Linked DNA regions of Tamandua tetradactyla. The protein of the gene in region 4 purifies or fractionates together with the protein of the main gene of each other region. This does not show direct contact. Links are inferred from orthologs where the notes say so. Each region holds a gene or a part of one and is shown on either strand. Other genes may lie near its edges. The genes, in order: HSPB1, HERC5, ENO1 and ISG15.

The links.
Region 1: the proteins of ISG15 (region 4) and HSPB1 purify together in Homo sapiens (affinity purification with mass spectrometry; 3 studies listed by BioGRID, with this or other methods). This does not show direct contact. The link is inferred for Tamandua tetradactyla from reciprocal best matches to the Homo sapiens genes ISG15 and HSPB1.
Region 2: the proteins of ISG15 (region 4) and HERC5 purify together in Homo sapiens (affinity purification with western blotting; 3 studies listed by BioGRID, with this or other methods). This does not show direct contact. The link is inferred for Tamandua tetradactyla from reciprocal best matches to the Homo sapiens genes ISG15 and HERC5.
Region 3: the proteins of ISG15 (region 4) and ENO1 purify together in Homo sapiens (affinity purification with mass spectrometry; 4 studies listed by BioGRID, with this or other methods). This does not show direct contact. The link is inferred for Tamandua tetradactyla from reciprocal best matches to the Homo sapiens genes ISG15 and ENO1.

The regions. Positions count from the first base shown.
Region 1 is NC_135349.1:10,412,020-10,418,289, reverse strand, and holds HSPB1 (heat shock protein beta-1), read left to right. Parts: upstream 1-4,089; 5' UTR 4,090-4,271; coding exon 4,272-4,647; intron 4,648-5,281; coding exon 5,282-5,345; intron 5,346-5,456; coding exon 5,457-5,631; 3' UTR 5,632-5,761; downstream 5,762-6,270. UniProt on the Homo sapiens protein: Small heat shock protein which functions as a molecular chaperone probably maintaining denatured proteins in a folding-competent state. Plays a role in stress resistance and actin organization.
Region 2 is NC_135350.1:38,226,241-38,233,811, forward strand, and holds the start of HERC5 (E3 ISG15--protein ligase HERC5), read right to left. Parts: upstream 3,010-7,571; 5' UTR 2,947-3,009; coding exon 2,247-2,946; intron 1-2,246.
Region 3 is NC_135328.1:216,491,747-216,499,195, forward strand, and holds the start of ENO1 (alpha-enolase), read left to right. Parts: upstream 1-4,433; 5' UTR 4,434-4,567; intron 4,568-4,897; exon of another isoform or gene 4,898-5,002; 5' UTR 5,003-5,056; intron 5,057-7,449. UniProt on the Homo sapiens protein: Glycolytic enzyme the catalyzes the conversion of 2-phosphoglycerate to phosphoenolpyruvate. In addition to glycolysis, involved in various processes such as growth control, hypoxia tolerance and allergic responses.
Region 4 is NC_135328.1:223,814,959-223,820,881, reverse strand, and holds ISG15 (ubiquitin-like protein ISG15), read left to right. Parts: upstream 1-4,496; 5' UTR 4,497-4,735; coding exon 4,736-4,738; intron 4,739-4,832; coding exon 4,833-5,327; 3' UTR 5,328-5,414; downstream 5,415-5,923.

The DNA.
Region 1 (6,270 bases), on a different chromosome or scaffold from region 4:
AGACCCAAGGCAATGAGGCACAAGTGCCCGTGCCCAGCTAGGGTGTCCCAGCTCTGGGCCAGTGACCCCTGTCCCCTCCCTCTCTGAGATGCGCCTGGCCACCTGCTGCCCCTCTTGGAGCTGAGGATGCCCTCGGCAAAGGGGTCCCATCCTTCTCCAGGCCTCCCCTCCACCGGAGGAGGGCTCTCGGGGGGCCCACAGCCCGGGGGTGCCCCAGCCTCAGGGTCTCCCACTTCTGGCGCTGGGGGCTTCTCTCCCTTATCCCAAATCCATCCCAAGACAGGAATCTCCTCCCCACCTCCCGCAGCCCCTCCCCACCCCCACCCCCAGTCTCCTACAGGTTTAGGGAGGATTCCTACCCCCACCCTTTTTTCTCATCTTACTCTGATTTAAAGAGAAAGCAGCCCTAAATCACACCCAGGCGCAACAGGAGTGGGGGGTGGGGTGCCTCCACTCACTATATATACCCCCCCCCACCACTGCAGCATCAGACTGCAGAACAGGTCATTCAGGGGGCATGGGGGGAAGGAGGAGAGTGGAGGAAAAACTGTTGATTCATGGTTCTGGAAGGAGTCCAGTGGTCTCATTGTACAGATGAAGAAAATGAGTCACAGGGGGCCGGCCCTTGGCCAAGCTGTCAGAGTCCAAGACACCCCAGGTCCCCAGCCTCCCAGCTAAAGAGATTCTTTCTGCCTGACGGCAGGCGGGAGGGGTGGGAGGCTGCAGCACCAGTCTTCCCCACCGGCCCCCTGTGGTCCCTTCAGCAGCCTTGGGGGAAGGCAAGCAGAAGCCCAAGGCCTATGGGGTGGGGCAGGCAGAGATGAGCTTTCGGAAATAGACTCCCAGAGGCACACTGTCTAGACGCTTCTCGAAAGACCCATACAAACACACACACCATGCTATAATTACTACTGCTTGCATTGTCAGTTCCCAGCAGGCCCAGTGGACTGGCGTAATCCATCAGCTGTCAGGCCTCTCCAGGGAGATCAGACAGCTGCCTGAAAATTCTAGTACCTTCTCTGAGGCTGGGCCAGAGAGGGAGGGGCTGGCTCAACCACAATAGCAAAAGCCTGCCAAGGGTGTGGCTAGCATGCCCAAGGCCTCAGTGTGGGGGGGTGGGGGCTGGGGAGGCCGGGCATGGGGGAGGGGGCTGCTTTGGAGTGTTCCAGACTTTAGGAGAAGGGAAGAGAGGAGGGGCCACCTCCAATGCAGGAATCCCCAGACCCTACAGGGGGTAATGGGATGAGGGGACAACTATGACCTGTCCCTGTGGCTTCTGGGAAACCCTTGGGGAATAGAGTTGTCCTCTTTCTCACAGGAAAACTCCCCCTGGCAGCTCAGTGTCCGAGGACGCTGGAGTCACAGGTTGTCAAAGAGTTACTGGGTAGGTGGACGAGGGCAGAATGACATCCAGTCCCTGCTGCCTGCTAAGCCCTATGCCTGGGCACAGAGTACAGCCTCCTGGAGAAGTCTCGTGGTCAGAGCTCCTGGCCTGAGCTGGAAAGGACCACAGAGAACCTGGCCAAACAGGGAACAGGGGGTGCCCACCTCCTCTGCACCCTGGAAGCCCACAGCTCTCCCTGGGCTGCCTGGGAAGTTTCTCCCCTGCTGGACAGGGAATCAAGAGGCCTGAGTTCCAGTCTCTCCCCACCCATTACCAACTTTGTGAGGCAGGGTATGGGAACAATTCTGACCTTCGGTTTTCTCATCTGGGACTGCTAAGACACTCAGAAGCTGTAAAGCACATGCAACTTATTCTGTTACTATCCAACGTTAGAGACCCTCTTTCCTAAGTAACACTGGAAAATGCAGAGCTGGCAGGAGGAGAGTCTCAGCCCCAGGACAGGGGCAGCTAACAGAGGGAGTGTGGGAAAAAGAGGAACTGGGGGACCCCAAGCCAGGAGTCCCACAGAGATAAGAAAGAGCCCTGGGTACGAGGGAGACAAGAAGCTCAGCACTGCTGGTATTTCTTGGGGACAGTGGACATCACTTGGGGACAGTGGACATCATGCATTCGAGACCCACCGATGCCCTGCAAAATGGGTACATTTTGCAGATGGGGACATGTGAGCTTGCAGAGGTCACCAAGCCAGTCCTGTCTGACCCCAAAACCCAGTTTCTTACACCCCACACCCCACTCACCCACTCCCACGTGGCTCAAAGCCATCCATGTCCCCTCCCTTATGACTGGCAGCACATCTGCCCTGGTTTCAGCAAGATGAAGGGAGCTATGAAAAGGGCTTGTGTCTACAAAACGCTGGCAGCCAGGTAGGCAGCCCCCACCCAGAGCGTGGCTGGGCCTGGCAGGGCCACACTTGAAAGCACCCATGATTATATAGGGTGGGGTGCCCTGGACTCCAGTCTGAGCGAAGCTGGGCAGGCAGGGGCGGGTGAGGGCCCTCCTTGGCTACTGATCTCAGCCCGATTTTATAGAGCTGGGGATGAGTGGGGCTGGGAGTGCCAAAGAGCCAAGGCCTGGGACTTCCTGAAGCTGAGACCCTTGGGGGTGGCCTGTGGCTCCCTACTGAGACCCACTGGAGTCATGACATGATCCAAAAAGGGAGATGGGACAGAGAACGGGGTCCTGCCTGCCTCCCACCCTTGACCCCCCAGACCACTAGGAGATCAAAGGCCTTTCCAGAGGTGACCTCAGTTTTGTGACTCAACCCCAGCTCCTCTCTGCTGGGGAGCAGATGGATAAGAAGGAGAAGCACCTATGCGTCCTCTCTCAAAAGGGAAACTGAGACTCAGAGAGGGCATGAGACTTAATGCCCCCCCAGCCCATCAAGGAGAATGGCTGGGAGTCTGGCTCCCACCCCAGGCTGTCCCCTGAGTCTGGGCCTGTGCAGGCCAAGGGCTTAGTAGTCCCCTGCAGAGCTGGCAGGAGGAGAGTCTCAGCCCCAGGACAGGGGCAGCTAACAGAGGGGGTGTGGGAAAGAGAGGAATTGGGGGACCCCAAGCAGGAGTCCTACAGAGATAAGAAAGAGCCCTTGGTTTCCTCATTTAAAAAGTGGGGATAACTGGACTTAAGTCAGGGAGACGGAAGGCTGGAATGGGGTCACGCCTATGTAGGCAGGAGAAGGAGGATGTCAAGGGTATGGCAGGAGCCTATGAGCAGCCCCCTCCAGAAGTAGGATTTGGGGGTGTCGGGATGCCAAAGGATCAGCTAGAAGGGATGGGGTTATGGGCTGGGCCTCGGATGCCCAGCAAGTTTGAGCAACCACACTGCCTCGGGTTCCCCATCCCTTTGCACTGTGGGAATCAGAAGCAAGAGGCACTTGGAGCGTATAATATGCAAAAGGGGAAACTGAGGCCAGAGAAAGGAGAGGCCTTGCCCAAAACGACACAGTATATCAGCAGCAAAGGTCCGACTAGATTCAGGACTGCCGCCCTTCAGGTTGCCGGTCCAGTGCTCTTCAAGGAGAGAGAGACACAAGGGGAAGATTTGGCAGTGACCTTCCCCCTCTCTCCCCTCCTGTCATCAGACCCAGTGTTTCTGATCTGGGCCAGATCTGGGGGCTGGGGGCAGCGGGAGAATGGCCAAACCTGCACAGGCCACTTCCTCTGCAACAGGGCTGGGGCGTGGAGGAAAGAGAGTTTCCCACACACTCTCCTCCAGCCTCCTCCTTTTCTTCCATTCCCGGTAAACAATAATAATGAGTAATTATTACCTCCTGCCCCGAGCTAAAATCTTTCCTCACACCAGTCCAATGACGTCAGCATTATTGTTATCATTAATTTCTATTTTCCAGATGGGGAAACTGAGGCACAACGAGTCTGACGTGCACAGGTCGAATCAGTGAATGGTAAAACCACAGTGGGAACGCAGGCAGACTCCTAAAGGCTATCCCGAGTGCTTCTTAAGACATTTCACACACAGCCCGTGGCTCTAATGCTGGTTCTGCCACTCGCTGGCTGTGTGGTCCGAGACAAGGGGCCTGACCGCGCTCAGCTAGCTCCGTCCAGGGCTTTACCTCCCGGGCCTGCGATCGGTTGTCCGGAGGCGGGCAGTGCGCCAGCCTGGGCGCTCAGGTCATTTGTTTTCTTTACCGAGAGAAGTTTCCAGATGTGGGCAGGACCTTCCTCGTCCCGCCCCCGCAGCCCCCGGACGGTAGGAATGCAGGGGGCGGGGCCGCCCCCAGCCAGTCCTTGCCTTTAATAGAGACCCGAGACACCGCCTGCTAAAAATACCCGGCCCGAGAGCCATAAAAGCCCGGCTCACCCCGCGGCCCCGCACTTCTCGCAGCCGCAGCCCGACGCGCCGAGCCAGCATGACCGAGCGCCGCGTGCCCTTCTCGCTCCTGCGCAGCAGCCCCAGCTGGGACCCGTTCCGCGACTGGTACCCGCCCCACAGCCGCCTCTTCGACCAGGCCTTCGGGCTGCCCCGGCTGCCCGAGGAGTGGTCGCAGTGGTTCGGCCACAGCGGCTGGCCGGGCTACGTGCGGCCGCTGCCGGGGCCGGCGGTCGAGGGCCCCGCGGCGGCGGTGGCCGCGCCCGCCTACAGCCGCGCGCTCAGCCGGCAGCTCAGCAGCGGCGTCTCGGAGATCCGGCACACGGCCGACCGCTGGCGGGTGTCCCTGGACGTCAACCACTTCGCCCCCGAGGAGCTGACGGTCAAGACCAAGGACGGCGTGGTGGAGATCACCGGTGAGCACCCCCCACTGCCCCCGGAGGGCGGCCAAGTTAGGGGGCCGAGCGCGGGGCCTCTGGCCGGTCGACCCCGGAAAGGAGAACTGGGCCGGGGTGGGGGTGGGGGTGGGTGCCGGGAAAGTGACTGGAGGGGCCTGGGGAGTTCCGAAGTGGCCGAGGGCCGGGAGGCAGGAGCCCTGGGAGTTGGTCCCAGCCTGCCGCGGCCGCCTTGGGCGTTGGCCCAGCCCCCAGGCCTGGAACCTCCTGTAGGGTTCTGGGACGGGGAGCCCTAAGGGCTTTTTCAGCTCTGTTAGGGGTAGAAACGCCCTTTTCCTGGGGAGACGCTCCATCTCACCCCGCAAGTAATCAGATCTTCCTGCGCCCACCCATTGGGTGTGAGCCGCTCTGTTCCTGTCCCTAACCCGGCCAGTGCAGGGGGCGTGGCCCCACCGCTTCAAAAGGCATGAAACGAATGTTCCAGAAGTTTCTAAGGCCCGGGTGAATTGGGCTGTCCAACCCCTTCAGTCAATCAGCTCTGGCCTCGGGGGCCCTCTAGAGAGCAGATGACAGCCTGCCCTGGGGACGATGGGGGGTGCGAGAGACAGCCCCCCCCCCCCACCCCCAGCAGCCTCTGACCACCACCTCCCCACAGGCAAGCACGAAGAGAGGCAGGATGAGCATGGCTACATTTCGCGGTGCTTCACCAGAAAGTACACGTAAGTTTGGGGGCCAGACGGGAAGGGAAGAGGTCCCCAGGGAGGGGGACCTGAGAGGGCGTGCAGTGTGGGTGGATGTGTAACTCTTGCCTTCTTCCTGTGCGTGCCCAGGCTGCCCCCAGGTGTGGACCCTACCCAGGTCTCCTCCTCCCTGTCCCCTGAGGGTACGCTCACCGTGGAGGCCCCCGTGCCCAAGCCGGCCATCCAGTCTGCCGAGATCACCATTCCTGTCACCTTCGAGGCGCATGCCCAGCTCGGCGGCCCAGAGGCCGGGAAGTCGGAGTAGCCTGGAGCCAAGTAGAGGTCTTGGCCCTGCCCACCCAGAGTCCTTCCCAGCTGTCCCTGCCCGCCCACTGGATGCTCTTTTGATACGTTTTCTTTCTGTTTAAAATAAAAGTTGGGATTATCAGAATTTATTAACATTAGTGTCACTAAAGTTGGTATACAGCTCCTCACTGCTGAATTTGACTGGCTTTTTTTTAAAAAAAAGTAAAAGAAAGTTGGGAGAACTGCCCACCACTGCCTCAGACTCGGCGTTGTGGAGCCCTTGGGGCAAGTGCCACTTGCTCATGCACAGAGAGTGATTAAGAGAAGCAAATGATTGTAACCAAGTGATTAACTCAAGGGCCAAGTGCAGAACTAGGGGCACCTGACTCGGCCTTGCCCACTCTGGTACACCTAGCCTGGGGACAGGTGAACGGGGACAGCAGGGCCTGGGGAGACCAGCTTTCTGGGAGCGCACAGTCCTTTCTGACTTCACTGTCCTTGCAGAGAAGCAGGACCACCCAGAAGGCTGGGTGGAGGTGGGGTGCAGGCTGGCAACTCCAGGTCCCTTGCTGAGGGGCATAGCCTAGTCCCCTCTCCCCCAGGACCCACCTGTACAGAACGGGGCCTGGGTTCTCAGCGCCCCAGGGTGCCCTGCAGA
Region 2 (7,571 bases), on a different chromosome or scaffold from region 4:
CATAAAAAATGGTTAATTGTGCATAGCAAAAAATAACATCAACAAAAGGCAAACTAAGAAAATTATTCCAATATAGACAGTACATGATGGACAAAGCTATTTATACTCAATATTCAAATAACTATTTCAATAACAACTCAAATTTTAAAAAGCCAGGCAGATATGACAAGGCAGTTTACCAAAAAAGGAATGCAAGCAACCAATGGAGAAGTGAAAAGAGATGCTGAATTTCACTCAAGTTACATGAGACGCAAACAACAGCAAGATAACATTTTTCCACTTGTTGGATGGGTCAAATTTTAAAGACTAAGAGTGTGGGCATTCAATTACTTAATCTTTCTCTGCCTCAACTATAGCAGTTTATGTAGCAGGATTACATAATTGATGAAAAGGACATTGGACACACTCCATCAATGTGCTCTTCCTCTCTTTCTCAACACATACCCCCCCACATACCCCCACACACATTCAACATTGAAGAGCCTTTGATCCCAAGGCCCTTTTAGGGACTAAGAATAAAGTGAAGATCCCATTCTTGAGAAGGGAATAGGAGGACATGCTTTGGGAAAAATAGAATTATTTTAAGCAGTGATTATGACAATTAAAAGAAGACATTTATGAGTTTTTAAATACCGATTTTTAAATATTTTCTTATTCTTTAAGTTGTGAAATAAAGTCATATTTCCTGTTTAGCATACAATTTAGGTTATTATAAGGCATGGCTGTTTTATGTAAAAAGTTCAAGCAGGTTGCTCTTCCTGTTATATATTCCTATTCCTCTCCATTATTCACACAGAAGAATGACCTGATCTTGGACATATGTTTCATTAAAAGACACCAACACTCACTTCACTGCAGTTGTCGTAATACATGCAATGCCTAAAAAGAAATCCATACCACGTATAGGTTGTGAATTCCCAAATTTTGCATTTTCAAACCTATGAAAAAGTGGCAAATATCACACGAAAGCAATAAGATTATTTTTATGTTTCTGTAATGATTTCACCTGGATAATGTTAATCCACCTACACTAACCCAACTACATTGGATTTAGTAATATTGCTTTCATGTGGGCATAACACTACGTTTTTCCCTCTCCAAATCTCCTCTTTGCACAACAACCTTAGTGACTAATATCTTGCTATTAAACTCTTTTTCAGGTACTATATTCTTACCAAAGTAAAAGAATTATGCCTCTCTGGAATATTTTCACTGTATATAAATTAAATCTCTGCTATTTTGCATAAAGTTGGGGCATGGAATTTTAGCATTCAACAGATAAACTGCTCCCTGACCCCTCTAGGCATTTTTGGGACTCCAGAAGCAATCTTACCTTGTTTATCAGTGTGAATTTATCACTATAAAATAGTAATTTAAATGATGGGAAATGGAATCCAATTTCCATAATGTCTCCCCCACGCTCCATGGATTTAGGTGACACTGGGCAAATTACTTAATAGCTTTGTGTCTTCAGCTGAATATGAATAATAGCTTTCCTCTGAAAACAGCACTTATATCATAAGATTATTGTGATTTATATAATTAAGGTAATTTATATAAAGTGGCTGGAACAACACTTTACATACATTAAATATTGAAAAAATATATATATATTTAAAAGTGTGGGCATTTACTTTCCGCAGCCTGTAAAATCGGAATCACAATACCTGACCAAATCTCTACAGAAATAAGGATGTCAGAGAAGCTCAACTCAAAGCATTCTTTAAATTGCTCATAAATATAAAATACTATGATTGAGAATAAGATAACGACGTTCTCCAAAGGCTCACATCTTCAGAGTGGACATGTCCTGAAAAGGAGTGAAAAAAATTTTTTTTTGAAAAGGAACCAATTATTATGGCACACTTGACTAAGAAAGATGAAGATTCTGTCTATATTCCTTTTCTCCCTCGATGCCCTGTCGATGTGGAAAGGACGATTCCACTATTTCTCATCAACATTCTGCAAACTGCGCAAACTAGAGCCAGGGATAAAGGGGACCACAGGAGCCAAAGGGACAAGCGACCCAAACCCGGAGAGTTTGCGTAACAATCGGATACCAGTTGCAGGGCCTGGTCCCCTTCTGAACTTTTACTCCCTCTTAGAAAAGGCCCCACACTCCAACTCGGATCCTTTAAAAAGTGTCCGTGCTGGGCCCTGCCCAGGCAAGGTTGTCCACCGCGCGCCCTCACCAGAAACCCCCACCCTAGGCGGGTAGGCCAAGAGACGATGCCGGTGCCGCTCACCCGATTTACTGGCGCCACCGCATCCCGGTGGCAGCTGGTGAACCTCGACGCCGGCCCCGCCACGCTCCAGCACCGCCAGGCGCCCGCGCGCGCAGCAGATCTGGCGCGTTGCCTCCAGCCTCCGGGGCAAAGCGCTGCGGAGGCCCGCGGGACTGGGGAAAAGCCAGAGCTCCGCGCTGGGGCGCGCCATCGAGGTCCCGGGGTCCGGCTTGGGCGCCCCGTGAGCGCGGTCCCGCGACCTTCTCCGCAGCTTCGGTCCCATCGCGCTCACCGACTCGCCTCCGGTCCCTGGTCCTTCGGGGGAAACTGAGCTACAGCTGGCCACAAAGAAAATGGAACAGGGGGCTATGAGCAACACCTGAGCGCGTCCAGTGCCCCCGGGGCGTCGCGGTGAGCACTGACTGGCGGCGCTGGTCGCTGCTGCTGCCTCGCGATCTGCGCCTCTTCCCAGAAGCGAGGCTCCTAACGCACTGTTTGCGGACGGAGCTGACAGTTCAGTTAGGAAACGAAAGTGATTTTTTTTCGTGAGAAAGCGGAATCGAAATAGAAAAGAAAAAAAGTAAACCGAAAGAGAAACTGGCTTGAGAGGCCACGAAAATAAACAGGTCGCTGGCAGGCTTTGGCAGGACGGAGAAGGTGTCTCCGGGGGCACAATGGGCACTAGAAAGAACTCCCAGACTGAATGACCTTCGAACAACATGGCAATTCCACTAGCAGGCGCCGTGATACATGCGGGTTTACGGAATTCTAGAAAATATTGTGATAAATGGACGCTAAAGTTTGCTCAGCTTTCTGTTCCAGGCTCGTCCACAGGATGGCGGCTTAACTGCATCAGGGAGCTGTATGGTCAGCCCTCCCCGCCGCCCCCTGCCTCCCCACCCTACCTTGGCAGCTAGTGATTTGTTTCTGTCAATGTAGTTTTGCCTTTTCTAGAACTTGATTCAAATGGAATCATGCAGTATGTGGTCTTTTATATTTGACTTTTTTTTTTTACTTACCACAATGCCTTTGAGATTCATCCTGTCGGTTTTAAAATCTGTACTTCTTTCTTGTTATTGCTGAGTGACATTTCATTATAGGGATATACTACAGTGTTTATATCCATTTACCAGTTGATGGACATTTCAGTTCTTTCCAGTTTTTGGCTACAATGAATAGCGATGTCTTTGGACAAATATTTTCATTTCTATTGGGTTATACCTAGAAGTGAAATTGCTAAGACATATAGTAGGTGTATTCATATTCTTATAAGAAAGACCAAACTGTTTTCCAAAGTGGCTGTATCATTTAGCATTCCCTCCAGCAATGTGTGGGAGTTCCTGTTGTTTCATATCCTCAAACCTGTACTTGGTATTGTCAGTCTTTTTAATTTTAGGAATTGTGGTCTGTAGTGACATCTCATTGTGGTTTATATTTGCATTTTTCTAATAACTAACGATGGTCTATGAGTGCCTATTTTCTACCTCTATCTCTTCTTTGATGAAATGTATATTCAAATTTTTTTGCCCATTTTTAAATTTGATTATCTTATCAAAGAATTCTTTATATCATACATTAGAGTTATTTGTATGTTATATACCACACCCTTTTCTTAAATAAATGTTTTGAACTGTGTTCTGCTTGTCTGTGATTTGTCTTTTAGTTTTATTATGTGTCTTGAAGAACTAAAGTTTTAAATTTTTATCAAGTTCAATTGGTCATTTTTTTTCTTTTACATATTTGTATTAGTCTCCTAGGGCTGCCACTTGGTGGCTTAAAACAACAGAAGTTTATTGGTTCCCAATTCTGGAGGCCAAAAGTCCAAAATCAAGGGTTTGGTAGGGCCCCTCCCTCCAAAGCTCTAGGAAAGAGAGCTTCCCTACCTCTAACAGCTTCTGGTGGCTGCTAGCATTCCTTGGCTTGTGGTGATATAACTGCAACTTCTCCTTCTGTTTTCATATCACCTTCCCTGTGCCTCTGTGTCTCAAATATTACTTTCTTTTCTCTTTTAAGGACACCAGTCGTTCTAGTTTGAATCTGTTATGTGCCCCCAGAAAAGGCTATGTTCTTTTAATCCATTCTTGTGGCGATTGTGTAGTGAAACATTTTGCTTAGGTTGTTTTCATGGAGATGTGACCCATCCAATTCAAGGTGGGCTTTTATCCTTTTATTGGAGTTCTCTAAGAAAAGAATAAAGGCAGAAAACACAGGAAGACAGATACAGAGAGCAAAGAAATGAAACCAAGGGAAGGATGTAGAGAGAGAGAAATGCTAAGATCTGCAGGACACAGAGCTCAGAGAGGTGTCCCTGGGGAAGCAAGCAAGGACACAAAACCTAAGAGCAATGGAATCCAGGAGCAAAGGACCAGCAGACACCTTCCCATGGGACAGAGGAAACCCACATGCCATTGGTCTTTCTTCGGCGAAGGTATCCTCTTATTGATACCTTAATTTGAACATATCCAAGGCCTTAAGAATTGTTAACTTGTAGTTTTAAAAATCCCCGTTGTTAAGAGCTAGCCCATTTCTGGTATATTGCATTTTGGCAATGTTAGCCAACTGAAACGCCAGTCATTGGATCAAAGGCCCCCCCTAAATCCAGGACAATCTCATTTCGATATCCTTAACTTAATTACACCTGCAAAGGCCCTGTTTCCAGATAAGGTCACATTCACAGGTACCAGGCTTAGGAGTTGGACATGCTATCTGGGCGACACAATTCAACCAATACAATAATTCAGGCCCATTTTAGGTCCTATTTAAGAAATTTTTATTTAACCCAAGTTTACAAAGATGTTATCATCTAGAAGTTTTGTAGTGTTAGGTGTTGGCTCCATTTCAAATTTATTATTATTTATAATGTAAGGTAATGGTAGAGGTTCGTTTTCTTTCCTTATGTATTTCCAGTGTTCTAGCTTGCCTTTACCCTATCAAATCGCCTTGCCGCCTTTGTCAAAAGAATCATTTGGCCCAGGTGTATGGGTGGTTCAGTGGGAGAAGAATGCTCACCTTCCATGTGGAAGACCTGGGTGTGATTCCTGGACCATGTAAAAGAAAAGAAAAAAAATCATCTGGCCACATATGATTGGATTTATTTCTGGACTTTATTCTGTTCTATTGATCTATATCTATATTTACTTTAGGTACACACTGTATTGATTACTGTAGCTTCAAAGTCTCAATCAGTTCATACAAGAAATCCAACATTGTCCTTTTTCAATGTTGGGTTTTAGCTATTCCAGGTGTTTTTATTTCCATATATATTTTAGGGTCAGGTTATCAATTTCTACAATTGCTAAAATTTTCATTGGGATTGCATTAGAGCTAATGAAAAAGTAGAGAAGAACTGGCATGCTAACAATGCTGAGTCTTCTGATCCATAAACATAATATACCTCCATTATTTAAAGCTTCTTATTTCAGAAAGATTTTAGAGTTTTTAGGGTACAAACATCTTTTGTTAAATTTATCCTTAAGTATTTCTTAATTTTTTTTTGATGATATTCAAAATGGTACTTTTAAAATTTCATTTTATGGTTATTGTTAAGGAATAGAATACAACTGATTTTTATATATTGACCTTATATCCTTTATATTTCTACATTAATTTATTATTTCTAGTTTTTTTTTTGTAGATCTCTTATAATTTTCTGTATAGATAATTGTATTAGTTTGCTAAAGCTGCTGGAATGCAATATACCAGCAATGGAACAACTTTTAAAAGGGGGCTTTATTAAGTTGCAAGTTCACAGTTCTAAGGCCGAAAAAATGTCCAAATTAAGGCACCAACAAGAGGTTACCTTTGCCCAAGAAAAGCTGATGCCACCCAGAACACCTCTGTCAGCTGGGTAGTCGTGTGGCTGGCTTTTGTGGGTCCGCTGCCCCTGGGCTCCATTGCTTTCAGCCTCTGTTCCTGTGGGGGTTCCTCTTTTGGCTTTTCCAGGGCTAGGTTTCATCTCTTGGCTTTTCTTGGCTTTTAAGATTCTGGCTTGCTTAGCATCTCATGGGAAGGCACATGCGGGGCTCTGCTTGTGTCTAGGCATCTGCTCTCTATGTTGAAACTCCAAGCATTGCCAAACATCCATGTCTGTCAGCTCTGGGGCAACTGTTCTCCAAGCATCTGCATCTGCATCTGAGGTTTCTTCAAAATGTCGCCCCTTTTAAAGGACTCTAGCAAACTAAACAGGACCCACCTTGAATGGGTGGAGTCACATCAAAAGGCCATACTCACAATTGGGTGTGTCACATCTCCATGGAAACAATTCAATCAGTTTCCCACCCCAAACAATAGGTCTGACCCTACGAGATTGGATCAGGATTAAAACATTGCCCTTTGGGGTACATAAGAGTTTCAAACTGGCACAATGATAATGCCACATACAAATAAGGTACTTTTTTATATGAATTACGATTTTGTATTGATATATATTCATACACCACGTAATCATCCAAAGTGTATAATCAATGGTTTAGAATATCATCATATAGTTGTGCATTGGTCATCACAAATTGACTTTTTCTGTTTTGTGAAAAATAACATTTATACAAAAAAGCAATAAATTTCAAAGCACAGCACAACAATTAGTTGTAGAACAGATTTCGGAGTTCGGTATGGGTTGTAAATCCACAACTTTAGGTTTTTACTTTGAGCTGCTCTATGATACTGGAAACTAAAAGAAATGTCAGTATAATGATTCAGCAATCACACTCGTGTTAAACCCTACCTTCTCTCTGTAACTCCACCATCTCCTTTGATCTTTCTCCCACTCTTTACAAATAAGGCACTTTTAATCCTTTCTTTCCTAGCTAGTATGCCTTTTCTTTCTTTTCCTTGCTTTATTATGTGGACTAGTACATCTAGTACAATGTAGAAGCCCTGAGAGTGAACATCCTTGTCTTGTGTCCAGTCATAGTGGGAACAAGACTCACTCTTTCACCATTAACTATGAGGTCAGCGCTAGGCTTTCCATGGGGGCTCTTATTCAGGTTGAGGAAGTTCTTTTCTGCTCCTAGTTTACTACGAACACTTTTCATGAATGGGTGTTGAATTTTATCCAATGTTTTGTTCTGCAACTATTGAGGAAATAATACAATTTTTCTTTTTGCCCTCTCTCTTTTTTTATTGTCCACGGTAAAATAGAAGTGGTTGATTTTTTTTTCTTTCTATTAATGTTTTAATTCTTATTCTGTTGTCTTTTTATTTCTTTTTCTAAATCGATGCAAATGTACTAAGAAATGATGAATATGCAACTATGTGATTTTATTAAGAATTACTGATTGTACATGTAGAATGGAATGATTTCTAATTGTTTTGTTAATTCTTTTTTTAATTAATAAAAAAAAATAG
Region 3 (7,449 bases), about 7.3 Mb from region 4:
CTACACTGGAGGGCCATTTTAAACAACAGAACCACCAAAACATAAAGCACACAAAATGTGGAAAATGTGGCACTAAAAATACTGCAAATAAAGGATTCCTGGAACAAGAAGGCAGAACGTTGCCTTGCTCAGCCCCAGCTGGAAAGGTACGTGATGGGAGACTCAAATTTTTCACCATCTGCTCATGTCTGTGAATGAGCCTGAAAGTGCAGTGAATATTGATTTGGGTGACAAATAAATTTTAATGAGCAGTGAATTTGCAAATACAGAATCTACAAATAATGAGGATCAAGTATTGTGCCGTTTTGAATCTTTATGCAGCCCAGAAAAGACTGTCCTTTTAATCATTTTTGTGGGGGTAGAACTGTGGTTGGGTGGGACCTTTTGATTAGGTTGTTTCCGTGGAGACGTGGCCCAGCCCATTCAAGGTGGGTCTTAATCCCCTTGCTGGGGTCCTTATGAGAGGATAAAACACAGAAACATCAAGAGACAGGGGGTTAGAGAGAAAATGCCCTAGTTGAAACAAGCAAGGACCCACAGGAGCTGAGAGGGAAAGCCATTGAAACGAGAACCAGGGGAGAAGGAGCAGCAGACATCACCACGTGCCTTCCCATATGACACAGGAACGCTGGATGCCAACAGTCCACTGTGACGTGCCCCTGCCGGGCAGAGGTCTGGAGTCCAGGCCCCTCCTTAGCCACCTTTGATGTTGATCCTTGGCCCTGCCAGCTGCATTCAGAGGGCAAAAGCCCGCTTAGGCTAAGAAGTCCTTCCGAAGGGGCTCTGGGCCTGGCCAGCGCTCAGAAGGCCCTCAAAAGGGGGCAGTTGATCTGCAGGCCCCTGCCTGACCTGATTAGTCCAAATTCTGAACCAGCCATTCACTAGTGGAGCTGCCCCGCCTGCCCTTGCTGAGCTGAAACACTGGGCAGGCAGTCGCCCGGCTCCCCAGGACAAGGCAATGGCCCCTCACCGAGCCCCTTCTGACCCGCTGTGAATCTACCCAATGGCTCTTCAGGTCAGTCTGCATTTTCCTTCCAGCCACATGCTGGGCTGAAATCTATTCTCCCCTTGCATTTTCCTGACCAGATGGAGAAAACAGAAGAAGGGAAAAAAAAAGAGATTAGAGAATTCCAATGCAGGAGGTCTAAGAACCTCACATCAAGGAAACTGTCAGGGGTTGGGGAAAATTAGGGTTTCTCCCCCTTTGTTTAGGAAAGGCAGAAAATGTCATCTTGAGTGTGGGACTGGGGACATTTTGTCATAGGAACACAATACAATGTATCTAACTCTCTGATCTGTGCAAGTAGCTTTATCCTTCCAGCTACAAGTTTGTTCTTGAAAGAATACAGATATGAAGGCCATATGATGATGTTTCTCAAATCCTGAAGCTGCTGCAGATGAATTCTATTTTGGGTTGTATTCAAGGGGAAGCTGTTCAAATTAAGGGAAGGCTCCTTGGACTCCATTCAGTTTTGCAGCCTCTTACCCACATCTTTCATCTTAGAGGAACAGGAGGCTGAACGGTTGGGGCTAAGTCTGCCTCGGCTGGTCCCCCAGCACCTCCACCCTCCAACTGCAGACTTAGCAAGCCAGGCAACCTCTCTGAGCTTTGAAAAGTGGAGATGATCAGAGTGGAATCCGGTCATGAACTCGGTGAAGGGATGTAATGGCTAATGCACATATGAGCCTCTGCTCGCTGGATGCCTGCTTCTTGTGTTCCCCATCCCTCTGCACCTCTGTTGCCAGGCTTCCTTACTTTCATCTCCTCCCTGGGGCACTGTGCTCCCCATCTGTCTCCCTAAATGTACACTGGGTTTCTAGGGTAGGTTTGGCCAGTCCCTGATTCCCACAGTTGACTGGTGAAGTCAGCCTTGAAGAAGGCACGGGAGGAGGCTGAGGATGGCAGAAAGCCCTAATATGTACTTCAAAACCACCTACGGTTGAGTATTGACAGCAGTCTACAGAGAGAAAACATGGGCTTCTTTTTTAAGTGAAGGACTTGAAAGGGTGTCAGATTAAGAATGCAAGGAGATTTAATTCCTTAAAAAAAAAAAAAAAAGAAAAAGAGAAGAACCGAATTTGATTTTATTTTACCAAACTGAATCAGAACGCATACATACAGAGGTATAAACACTTTAGATAAGAAAGCTGAGATGTGTACATCCTACCACCCAGCAATTTCACATCCAGGTGTGCTTCCTAGAAACTCTTGCACATTTGCTCAGCTATAACAAAGTTCATAGCAGCATTGTTTATATTAGCAAGGATAATAACTGCAACCAACCTAAAGGTACATTGACAGGAGCATATGTGACCTTTACGCAGAGGAATGCCATATAGCACTGAAAATGAGCCGTCCACAGCTACACTGATGGATCTCACCAACATCAAGGTGAACAACAACAACAACAAAAAAAACAGTAGAAAAAGGCTTCCAACAGTAAAATTCTATCAAGTTTCTATCAAGTTCAAAAATTATTTTAAACCCTAAATAAAACTAAGGCCAAGGAGGAACAGATACCCAAGGGACTTGAATGAAATTGCAGATGTTCCATTTCTTAAACAGGTAGCGGGTACATAAATGTTCAGGTATTTTATCATATAAATCGTATACAGTCTTTGATACGTTTTTAATATTTAAGGATAAGCAAACAAACACAAAAACCCTCTATCTGTTATGAGGGTTCATCTGCCGCCATTAGCTGAGGACCTCCTGCAGGCCCCTCATCATACCGTAAAGTTTCCCATCTGCCTGGACACCCACCTTCAGAACAGCTGTATCACTTTTTCAGTAGACCAGTGTTGCACAAAACACAGATGAAATCAGTAATCCAGGTGTGTTGTCAATTGCTGGAGATTCACTTTCCCTTAAACCTCGTGTCCTTTAGATGGCCTTCAAGCACCACCTGCAAGGCTTCGCCAGGTGGTCTGCTCATAATACCTTGGACACTTCCTCCCCATCAGGTCCATGCCCCTGTGCTGCCCTGCAGGCAAAGATTAGCCCCATGGCCTATTAACAGAGCATCAGGAACCATGAAGATGGACAGGACATTTTGGCAGCCTGTGGATTTTTAGAGATTTGAGGGCATCTCCACTAATCATTAATGTTTCAGCTACAATTTGAGGTCGAAGTGCTAGCTCAGAGCACGGGGGTGGCTTCCAAGAATCTTGCAACAGCAGCTGTCTCATGTCATGATGCACTACATTTGATTTCCTGCTAGATGCACTGGTTCTGGCCAGAGAACTATTTTAAGAGCCATGTCTATCGTTATCTCTTTAACAATTCTAATGTAAAATTAAAGGGATTGTTTGGCATCCTTTCAGGACCACACCTTAAAATTGCTCTGAAAATAAAAGCTTTAAGGGTCTGATTTCCTTGGCGTTCTTACAAGGCTTGAGAGACGTTCGCTGTTGATTTAGCTGCTGAGTCATGGGGCTGGGATATTGGTTTTAAGCAGCCAGAAATGGCAGTGTACAGTTGGTGAAATCATAACCTCTGCTTGCAAAATCCATATCAATCTTTACTGAAATAGTTTACGATTTCCCTGTTTCTTTTCTTTTTTTTTCCTGAATTCAATCATAAAGTTCTTGCTTAGTTGTTGGAAAACAAATACGTGGACTCAGGAGGCCTTCTTAACCCTGTGCTTTGGAAACCTAAGCCAGCAGCTTGGGGGCAAAAAAAAGCTAATCATAAGAAATAAAGTAAATTATTTATTTAATATCTTTATGCACGGCAGTGTGTTAAATATAAAGACCATGCTGTTTTAGATCTCAGACTTAGAAATCAGGAGGGAGGGCCGTTAAGTAAATACAAAAATAAATGTATCGGAAAATAAAGCGATCATCTCAGGCCTTCTTTGGGGAGGCGCGTGTGTGTCTGTGTGTGCGCGAGTTGATTTTAAATGGACTATCCGTTTTTTTCTTGATCAGAAAATCAAAACCATTCCGCCCACCTCTTCTTGGTTTTCTTTTGCTAGACCAACGGGAATTACTACCTGCTTCGAGCAGTCCCCTCAGGGGGTATGTGAAATTCCATCCCTAAAGTCAGTCTTTGCTGTAGTTCAGGAGAACCTAGGCAGATCTCATCAGGGCCTACAAAGAGTAAAGGTGTGTGTGTGAAGTCTTCTGTCCTCAATGAAACAACACGAGAGAAGAATGAAATCCGCGCGGGGTGCACGCGGGCGTGCGGCACGCCGGAAGCGTGAGCTACAATGAAAAGTGAATCTGTCCTTCGGCTCCGTGCGTGGGATCCTCCACGCCCGCCCGACGCCGCGAGGTGAAGGAAACCCAGGTCACCTTGGCGGCGGCGCGCGCGTGGGGCCCGGCCGGAGCGCAGCGCGCAGGCGCGGACGAGCGCACGTGGACGCGGGCACGCGGCGCTGCGGCTCCCCCACCCCCTCCTCGCAGGCCCCCTCCCCACCCCAGGGTCGCGGCCGCTCAACGTCTCCACGCCGCCGGGGGCTCTCGGGCACCGCGCTCCGGGCCGGGCCGGGCAAGGGGGCGCCGCGAAGGTCATCAGCAAGGGCGTGCGGCGGCGCGGCTACGCCGAGTGCGTGCGGGACTCGGAGTACGTGCCGGAGCCCTCAGCCCTCATGCCCGCCGCCCCGCCCCGCCCCGCCCCGGCGCCACAGACCCCCGCCCCCCTTAGGGGCCCCGGCGGGAGGCGGAAAGGGAGGGCCGCGGAGGTCGGGGGCCCTTCTTGGGGTTTGAGTCTCCCGAGTCCCCAGCCTAGGCCCAAGTCCCCAGGCCTCCCGACCCCCTTCCCCCCTTTCTCAGCCTCAGCGCAGGCCATAGTCCCGCCCCTCTCCCCGAGGAGGGGGCAGAGGGCACGATTGACGGAGCACTTGGCCAATGGCGAGGCGGCGCGTAGGGGGCAGGCCCGGGAAGGCGGGAAGTGGGCGGAGCTCCGGGCTGGCAGGAAGTCGGGGCGGCGGCGGGGAGAGGACCCCGGGCAGTCGGCGCGTGCAGATCTCGCCTGCTGACCCTGCTGCGGTGTTTGCAGCCCTCTCGGCTTCTCCCTCGGCATCGTCCCTCGTTCACGAGACCCGGCGGCCAGGTAAGGACCCCGGGGAAGGCCGCGGGCGAGCGCTCGGCAGGTGGAGCGTGGGTTTCTTCGCCAGGTCCCCTCCGCGGCGTGCCCGTGGGCGCGGGCGTGGACCGGAGGGCTGGACGGTTCCCGGGCAGGCGAGAGGTGCGGGCCGACGCGTGAAGATGAGTTGCTTGGAGGGTCGGGGGAGAACAGGCGACCGTCTAGTCCAGCGGGCTGGGGAGGAAAGGGAGCCTCTCTGTCAGGAGCCAAGTAAAGGGGTTAGTTAGAGGGGAGAAATGCAGGCTTCGCCAGGATTTTTAATTAAATAATTAAAGCCAGGCCCTGCCTAAAACGGGGGAGGGGTCTGGGAAACAGATGACCCGCTAGCTGCGGCCCCCTCCCCCACCAGCAGCCTCTGTCCCCCGCTGGTGGCTCCCGGCCTGTAGGTCAGCGGCGTGCTGTCCAGCCCATCGCTGCTCCGAAATCAGACAGCTCGTGTAGCTTAAGAGGGTACTTTTTTTTTTTACAGTAATTGATTTTCTTCTGTCGAAAGAAGCCCCCATTTTTAAGAATCCCTGCCTACCTAGGATAAATCCCACTTGATCATGGTGCATAATTATTATTTTTTTTTTTTAATTTTTTAAGAAGTTATAGGTTTGCAGAAAAATCCTGCAGAGCTGCCATCTGTAGCCCCAGTCAGTAACACCAAGAAGGGGCTTCTTTATTTTTTATTTATTTATTTATTTTTAATCAAAGGGCCGAAGAGCCGTTGAGTCATTGAGGAACCGGCCAGGAGACTCTGCCTAAGTCAGGCAGGATCTGCTTCCCACCTCTCTGCCGGCCACCCCCACTCCGGTACTGGCTGACATAAAAAGGAAGTATTTTGAAAACGCTTCCTGTTGGCTTCTCCCCGGCCATGTGGTCGCCTGGTTGCCTTGCCTCAGGCCCCTCGGGACCCCTCCTCCCCGTTAAGTTCAAACCAAGCCCCGTGAAGAGCGATCCTGGGAGGCGGTGTAATCAGATCAACCCTCTCCCAGTCTGTGCTCCCTAAAGTTTCATTACTTTTAAAAAATAGCTATCTACCAATTTTTTTTGTGGGGTGCTTGGGCACAGCAGGCGAGCATTCTACAGTTAGCTATCAAATTTAAAGACACACTTGAGTTGATTATGTTTTATGTCACTAAATGAAACGAAAAATTAGACCTTAGATCTGTGTGCTGTGCCACTGTGTTAAGGATGTATTTAAAAGTATGATTAAAATCTACAGTAGCAAAGGAAATTAGTAGTTGCCTGGGAATGGACTGCAAACCATTAAAGCTGTATAGTTTGTCAAAACTCATCAAACTACACACTTGAAGTGGGTGCACTTTATGGTATGTGAATTATTTCTGAAAGTTGGTTTAAAACAATATGTTTTAACAAATGGGCCTTTTTGGAAGCCAGTGGATAAAAGCTAGATGCCTTTTAATTGACTAATGAATAAACTCCATTATTACATAGAAAGGAAAGCCACAGAAGTGAGTTCAGTGTCTAATTTTGAAACTCAAAATTAAAAAATAAAGATAGGATGCCATGTGCTGCTTCAGAACATTCCAGAGAAGATGTTGGAGGGTAGCCGAGGGAAATAATGGTTTCTGAATGCTAATTTATTTCCTCTCATTCACTTAAATGTCATAACTTGCTGAATTACTTTTTTCTTTGGAGACCCCCTGGGGAAAAAAGTGAGAAAACGGCTTTCTTTGGGCACTTGCTGCAAATCTCTGTTTTTTTTTTTCTTTTAGGTGTTATTTCTCTCAGAATGTTGTAGCAGAAGATAGAATTTTCTATTTACAAATCCCAATAGTTTATAATTAGGTTTTTTTTATTATTATTTTTTTATTAATTAAAGAAAAAAGAAATTAACACAACATTTAGAAATCATTCCATTCTACATATGCAATCAGTAATTCTTAACATCATCACATAGATGGATGATCATCATTTCTTAGTACATTTGCATCAATTTAGGAAAAGAACTAGCAAAACAACAGAAAAAGATATAGAATGTTAATATAGAGAAAAAATAATAATAATAATTTTAAAAGACACAAACATACAAACAAACAAAAAAACTATAGCTCAGATGCAGCTTCATTCAGTGTTTTAAAATAATTACATTACAATTAGGTATTATTGTGCTGTCCATTTTTGAGTTTTTGTATCTAGTCCTGTTGCACAGTAATTAGGTTTTTTAAATGGGCAAAATGGCCTTCGGAAGAAAGGGCCGTGTGTCCCACTACAGGCCGAATGCTGCGGCATTCAAGAGCCCCCAAGCCTGTCACTTCTGAGCTCCAAGCTCAGAATTTCTAACTGAATATCTAACTGCTCCCAACTGAACAGCCTGCTGCTACTTCAAACATAATGAATTAAAAAATTAAGAT
Region 4 (5,923 bases):
ACCTGGGGCCTCCCCTAGAAGCCTCTTCTCCTCTCTGAGACCAACCCTTCTCCGACAGGCTCTAGTCCCATGCGTCCTTCGGGAAGCCCTCCCTGATCCCGGCCTTAAACTGGCCCTAACTCAGGCCTCTGCAGCTGTGGCTAGCCCGGGGCCAGGCGGGGGAAGGTTCTGGAGCTGAGCGACAGCGGCAGATAGAAGAGACCGTGTCCTGGCTTCCTGTCAGGAGGGGTGCTCAGCCTGTCCCTTCGGCGAAGACACAGCACCGGGAGAGATGTTTCCTGTGCTGCGGACTCGGGGGCTGGAATTCAGCCTGGAGATGCGGCAGCAAGAGCCTGTGCCTCGTTTGTGTGATGGTTTCACAGAGGGGCACATGTCTAAACCCAACATCCCGTGTTCCGTAGGGGCAGTTTGTCGGATGTCAGTTGTGCCTCGTTCACGTTGTGAAGAGTCAGACTCAAGGCTCTCCCAGTCCTGAGCGTCCTGTCTGGTCAGCCTCACGGCCCTAGATTCAGGGGTGCTCAGTCAGACAACTGGATTTATGATTTTAAGAAGAAAGATAGGAGCATGCTGTTGAATTTGTTAACAAGTTAGGATATTCTAGAACTTAAGATTTATATGTTTAATTTCATTAAACTGACACGGCGCACTCAGCAGGGACAGATGCTTCTTCCTGTGCAGCCTCCACGAGCAGCTCCTGCTGGTGTACGGCCGCTGGGAGGGTGAGAAGCCGAGTGTACCTTGTCAGTTCTGTGGGGAGAGGAGAGTGTGTGTGCACGTGTGTGTGCATGCGTGCAGGTGTGCACGTGCGTGTGCATGTGTGTGCGTGTGTGTGTGTGTGCCTGCCCTTCTTTTTCCACTTTTAAACGGGATGGTCAGGAAAGTCCTCATCAAGTCGGCTTGGAGGGGGGAAGCAGTGTGGGGGGGTGTGAGTGTTCTGGGGGGGAAGCAAGTGCAGGGACCTGTGGAGGACAGGGGCGGAGTGGCACCTAGGGAAGGGTCCTGGTGCCACTGGGTGGAGGGCAGACTCGGGGGCAGTGGCAGGGGAGGGGTCTGCGGTCACCGCAGGGAGAGGTGAGGGCCGGGTCTTCAGGGGACGGCGCTCGGGCAAGGGTCCCTGTGGTGCTGCTGGGCAGGTGAGGGACTCGAGAGCAAAACCAAGCCAGCCAGGCATTGCTGGGGCCGAGCGTCCTCTCCCAGGAGCTGCAGGTGGGACCGTGTCTCCTCGGGTGCCTGCTTGGCCTGGAGCGGCCTGGGGCCTGGAATCCACACAGCGGGGGCAGTTTGGGGCAGACCTGGGCCCTGCCAGGCCTATTCCTGACCCTCAGAAGCTCCTTTGGCCACCATGGGTAGGGGTGATTTGCTGTGTAGCAAGCGATAAGCTGTGCAGGCCTAGAATCTCTTTTCTAAGCCCAGCGAGCACAGAAATTCTGTATCCTGTGCCTGGCAGTTCTGGGAGCTGCAGTTATCAAGGTGGGCGCCCTGGGCCAGGAGGACCTGCCTCTCACCTCTGCCTCGAGAGCACCTGCAGCTGCGCCCCCCCCCCACAAGCTTCCTTCTTTCTGCCCTCCCTCCTCCTCGCTCCCTCCCCCTCCTCTTCCCCCTACTTCCCCCTCCTCCTCTCCCTCCTCCTTCTCCCCCTTCTCCCTCCCTCCTCCTCCTCCTCCCCTCCTCCTCCCCCTCCTCCCCCTCCTCCCCTCCTCTCTCCCTCCTCCTCCTCCTCCTCTTCCCTCCTCCCCACCCTCCTCCCTCTATCTCATCTCTTGGCCTGTTCTGCTCAGTACCAAGGCCTTGTCTTCAAGTTCCCTGGGCCAGGATGGGGGTATAACTCCAGGACCCTGGTTCCTGGGTGGCACTGGCCTCAGGATACACCTCCCTCGGAAGGCGCTGGTGCTGCTGTGTTGCCCGGCTGTGGCCGCTTTGCTGGGCAGGGACCGGGTCATTTTGGGGTTCTTCCTGAGCCACCTGCCTGGAGCCCGGCAGCTCTTCCAGCCCTTGGGTGGGTGTTGGTTTCTGTGGCTGTGTCAGTTTTTAGTGAGAGGGGGGTACTCTCCAAAAAGGAGAAGTCCCGCAGATAGAGCACAGGAGCCTAAGAAAAAGTCTAAAATTTTGAATTTGTAACTTAAATATATTCAACATAAACTTTAAAATATCTAAGTAGGCAATTCTAACTTTTTTGTGTTGGAAGGGTCTGTCGCTAATATGGGGTAGGGAGATGCATCTATTTGATGTTCTGGAGAGGTTGGGCTCTCTAGGTCTCAGGACTTATCTGGACTAGGGACCCATCTGGAGGTTGTAGGTTTCTGTAAAGTTACTCTAGTGCATGGAACCCTTGTGGAATCTTGTATATTTATTGCCCGAGGAGTTCTTTAGAATTGGCTGGAACGGTCCTGGTTGGGGGTTGGCAGGTTATGACAGGTAGCAAGGTCTAACTGAAGTTTGCGTAATAGCAACCTCCAGAGTAGCCTCTTGACTCTGTCTGAACTCTCTCTGCTCTGTTTCTTGTAAGCCTGCGGTTTTCTTCTCACAATAGCAATACAGTTTACGCATGGGAAGAGTCAAGATATAAATTTAAAATAATAGAAAGAACGAAATTAAACATCCCCTCAACAATTTTGAGGTCCATGTGCCTTTTTATGATGGGGAGAGGGTCCAGGGTTCATAGGCAGAACAATTATGCTTTTTCCACCTTTTTTGTTTCCAACTTATTTTAGGCTAACTTGTACCTCTTCTGTGCTGTTTCTAATGGTAAAAAATAGAGCCATCCACATATCCAATAGTGGGGAATTGGTTAACTGAATTACAGTCTATTCTATAATTGATTCATTATTCTGTGCGGAGCATATGCAGCCATTCAAAAAACCTAAAATGTATCTGTCAGCCTCTCAGATATTTAGGATACACCTTCCCATGAGCCAAACAGGGCCCAACACAGGGAGGCCGATAGTATGCGTTTGTATTTTTTTTTTAATTGAGGGGAAATTTATGTATCACAAAACTAATCGTTTTAAGGTGAGAGGTCAGAGCATTTAGCACATTCACAAAGCTGTGCACCGCCACCTCTGTCCGGGCCCGAGCCCCTCCTCTGTGGGGCAGGGGCGCTCCTTTCCCAGCCCCACAGTCGGGAGCCCCCGTCCCACTCTGGTGGTTTGAGGCTGTGCGCCCAGAAAACCTCACCATCCTCAGGCCAGTTGTCCCCCATGACGGTGGGCCTGTGGGGTGTCACTTCCAAGGGGCTGCCCCAGGTGGGGCGACACCCTGCAGCCTGCAGGGGTTCCAGGAGGCGGACAGCAGGACGCGGGACCAGAGAAGAAGCTGGAAGCAGGCGCCGGGCTGTGCCACAGAGGGCGCCAGCCCACTCTAGACGTTCCCACGGCCTCCGCCTCTTGTGACAGCCAACCCGTCTCTGGTCGGCCGTCCCTTGGCCGCCTCAGCCAGCCAAGGCAGTGCCTATCGGTTTGGCTGTTCCGTACTCTCGTCTAAATTGTCAATATCACGGGGCCTTCGGCTCTGGGCCCCTTGCACTGGGCATGGTGCTTTGAGGTTCTTCCACTTAGCAGCAGTCGCAGCACCTCATTCCCTTCGTGGCTGCGTAATATTCCATTGTCGGATGTTGTGGGGTGAGACGCAAGCCCCAGAAGACATGCTCCAGTGCCCCTCTGCCCAGCGTGGAAATAGCACTGGGGGTCCCGACCCCTAGTGCTGGCACGCTTTGCCGAAGGAAAAGGTGGAATGAAGGAAAAGGTCCCCGTGGTCGAAGTCCAGCTCCCCAAGACTGCAGCCAGCAGCCTTCTTTGGAGACCTTGATGGGCTCGTGCCCTGCTGGGCGCACCCCCAGGGCACCAGGAGGGCAGGGGCCACTTGCTCCGAGCCTCTGCAGGCCACCGGGCCCTGGGAAGGCCGCAGAAGCCGAGGAGCTGCCGGGCGCCCCACAGCCACTGCCCACTGCTGCCCCAGCTCCGCACCTCCATTCTCCGGTGGCGTGGGGCACCCCACACGCACCCCTGGTGTGGGGTGCCACTCGCTGTGGTCTGAAAGTGCATTTTGCTAGTGGCTAACGATGTCGGTCAAACCTCCATCTTCTTTGAGAGATGTCTGTCAATGCCCGTTTGCGTTGGGTTGCTTGTCTTTTTGTGGTTGACTTGTAAGGCTTCCAGACCCTGATCAGATACAGGATTCGCAAATATTTTCTCCCATCCTGTGGGTTTGGTTCACTTATTTGATAATGCCCATAAGTTCATTTTTGTGCAAAATGAAAAATAAAGCTCTTCATAAAAAGAGAATCTGAATATATACTGTCCTAAATCCACGGCGAGGACCTGTGTGCACTTTGGATTGTGCTTTCCCTTTTTGTGCCTGAATAAGCTGGCAACGCCTCCCGCGTTCACTCACTTGCGGGGAGTACAATGCGAGCCGGCGTTGGCAGGCACTGGTTCCCGGCCTGGGATCTCGCTAAGGCCGGGAAGCGCCCGCACCGGAGCTTTCTGCGGGGACGGGGCGGGGGCTGCCTGGTGTCTGTTTTGGTTTTGCGTCCGCGGGGGCACGGCTTGGGAAACGGAAACCGAAACCGAAGCGGCCGGGGCGGCCGGTGCCTCCGCGCCGACTCCACCCCGCGTGTGACGTGAGCGCCCCGGGCCATAAAAGGGCTGCGCCGGGCTGGGGCCGCTACGAGACTCGAGGAGCTGAGCGGCCGGCGGGAAGCAGTGTCCGGGACCTCGGTCTGGAGGAAGCAGCAGCCATGGTGAGGCGGGGGCCGGGGTGGGGGGGTGGGGGGCTCGAGCCCTAAACCCCTTGGGGGAGGCCGCAGTGTCTGAGCGCTCACGCTGTCCCCGCAGGGCAGGGACCTGACAGTGAAGATGCTGGACGGCAAGGAGTTCGCGATGCCCCTGAACGACTCCACGATGGCGTCGGAGCTGCGGCAGCAGATCGCCCAGAGGTGGGGCGTGCCGGCTTTCCAGCAGCGGCTGGCGGTGCACCCCAACGGCGGGGCGCTGCAGGATGGGGTGCCCCTGGTCAGGCAGGGCCTGGGCCCCGGCAGCACGGTCCTGCTGGTAGTGCAGAGCGCTGACGAGCCCCTGAACATCCTGGTGAGGGACAGCAGAGGTCGCAACAGCTCCTACGAGGTCCGGCTGGGGCAGACCGTGGGTGAGCTGAAGCAGCAGGTGTGCCGGCGCCAGAACGTCCAGGCCGACCTCTTCTGGCTGAGCTTCGAGGGGCGGCCGATGGAGGACCCACAGCCACTGGGGGAGTACGGCCTCGAGTCCCAGAGCACCGTGTTCATGAACCTGCGTCTGCGGGGGGGTGGGGCGCGGCCCGAGGTGCTGCACTGAGGCTCCCTGCCCAGTTGTAATCCCACCCCGACCTGAAGCCTGGACAGTCAGGCGACAGTAATAAATGCTGACCCACACCGAGAAGCAGGGGCCTCGCATGTCTTCTCACCTTGTCCTAGCATCCCTGTGTCTGCCCCTGGCACCCCATTCTCGTGTCTGTCTGGCCCAGGGTGGCTCATGTTGGTAACCAAGGGGCAGGACCTCCCAGTCACAGGGTCAGAGCCTGGTGGCAGCAGATCGGTGGCCTTCTCCCCTCCGCGGACACTACAGACAGCTGCCCCCGCGCGCTGGGGACGCCCTCCTCTGAGGGAGAGAAGGGTTGCCGTCGGCCGTGTGAGCTCTGCAGGCCCTGCCCAGCCTCTGCACACCTGGGGCCTCAGAGCCCCCCAAGAAGATGGTGGACATGGGCCCTGGCCTGATCGGGTGGGTTGTGAGGGAGCTAGGGCTCAGGGGTCAACAAGAGAGCCCCCACCTCCTTCAGGGCTGAGCAGACCCACTTACTGGAGAGGCCATGGCCTTCCCAGACGGGGTGGCTCCCTTGGGCACATTGACAGCCCCTTCCTCACAGGATGCTTCTTGTCCCCTGATTCTGTGCC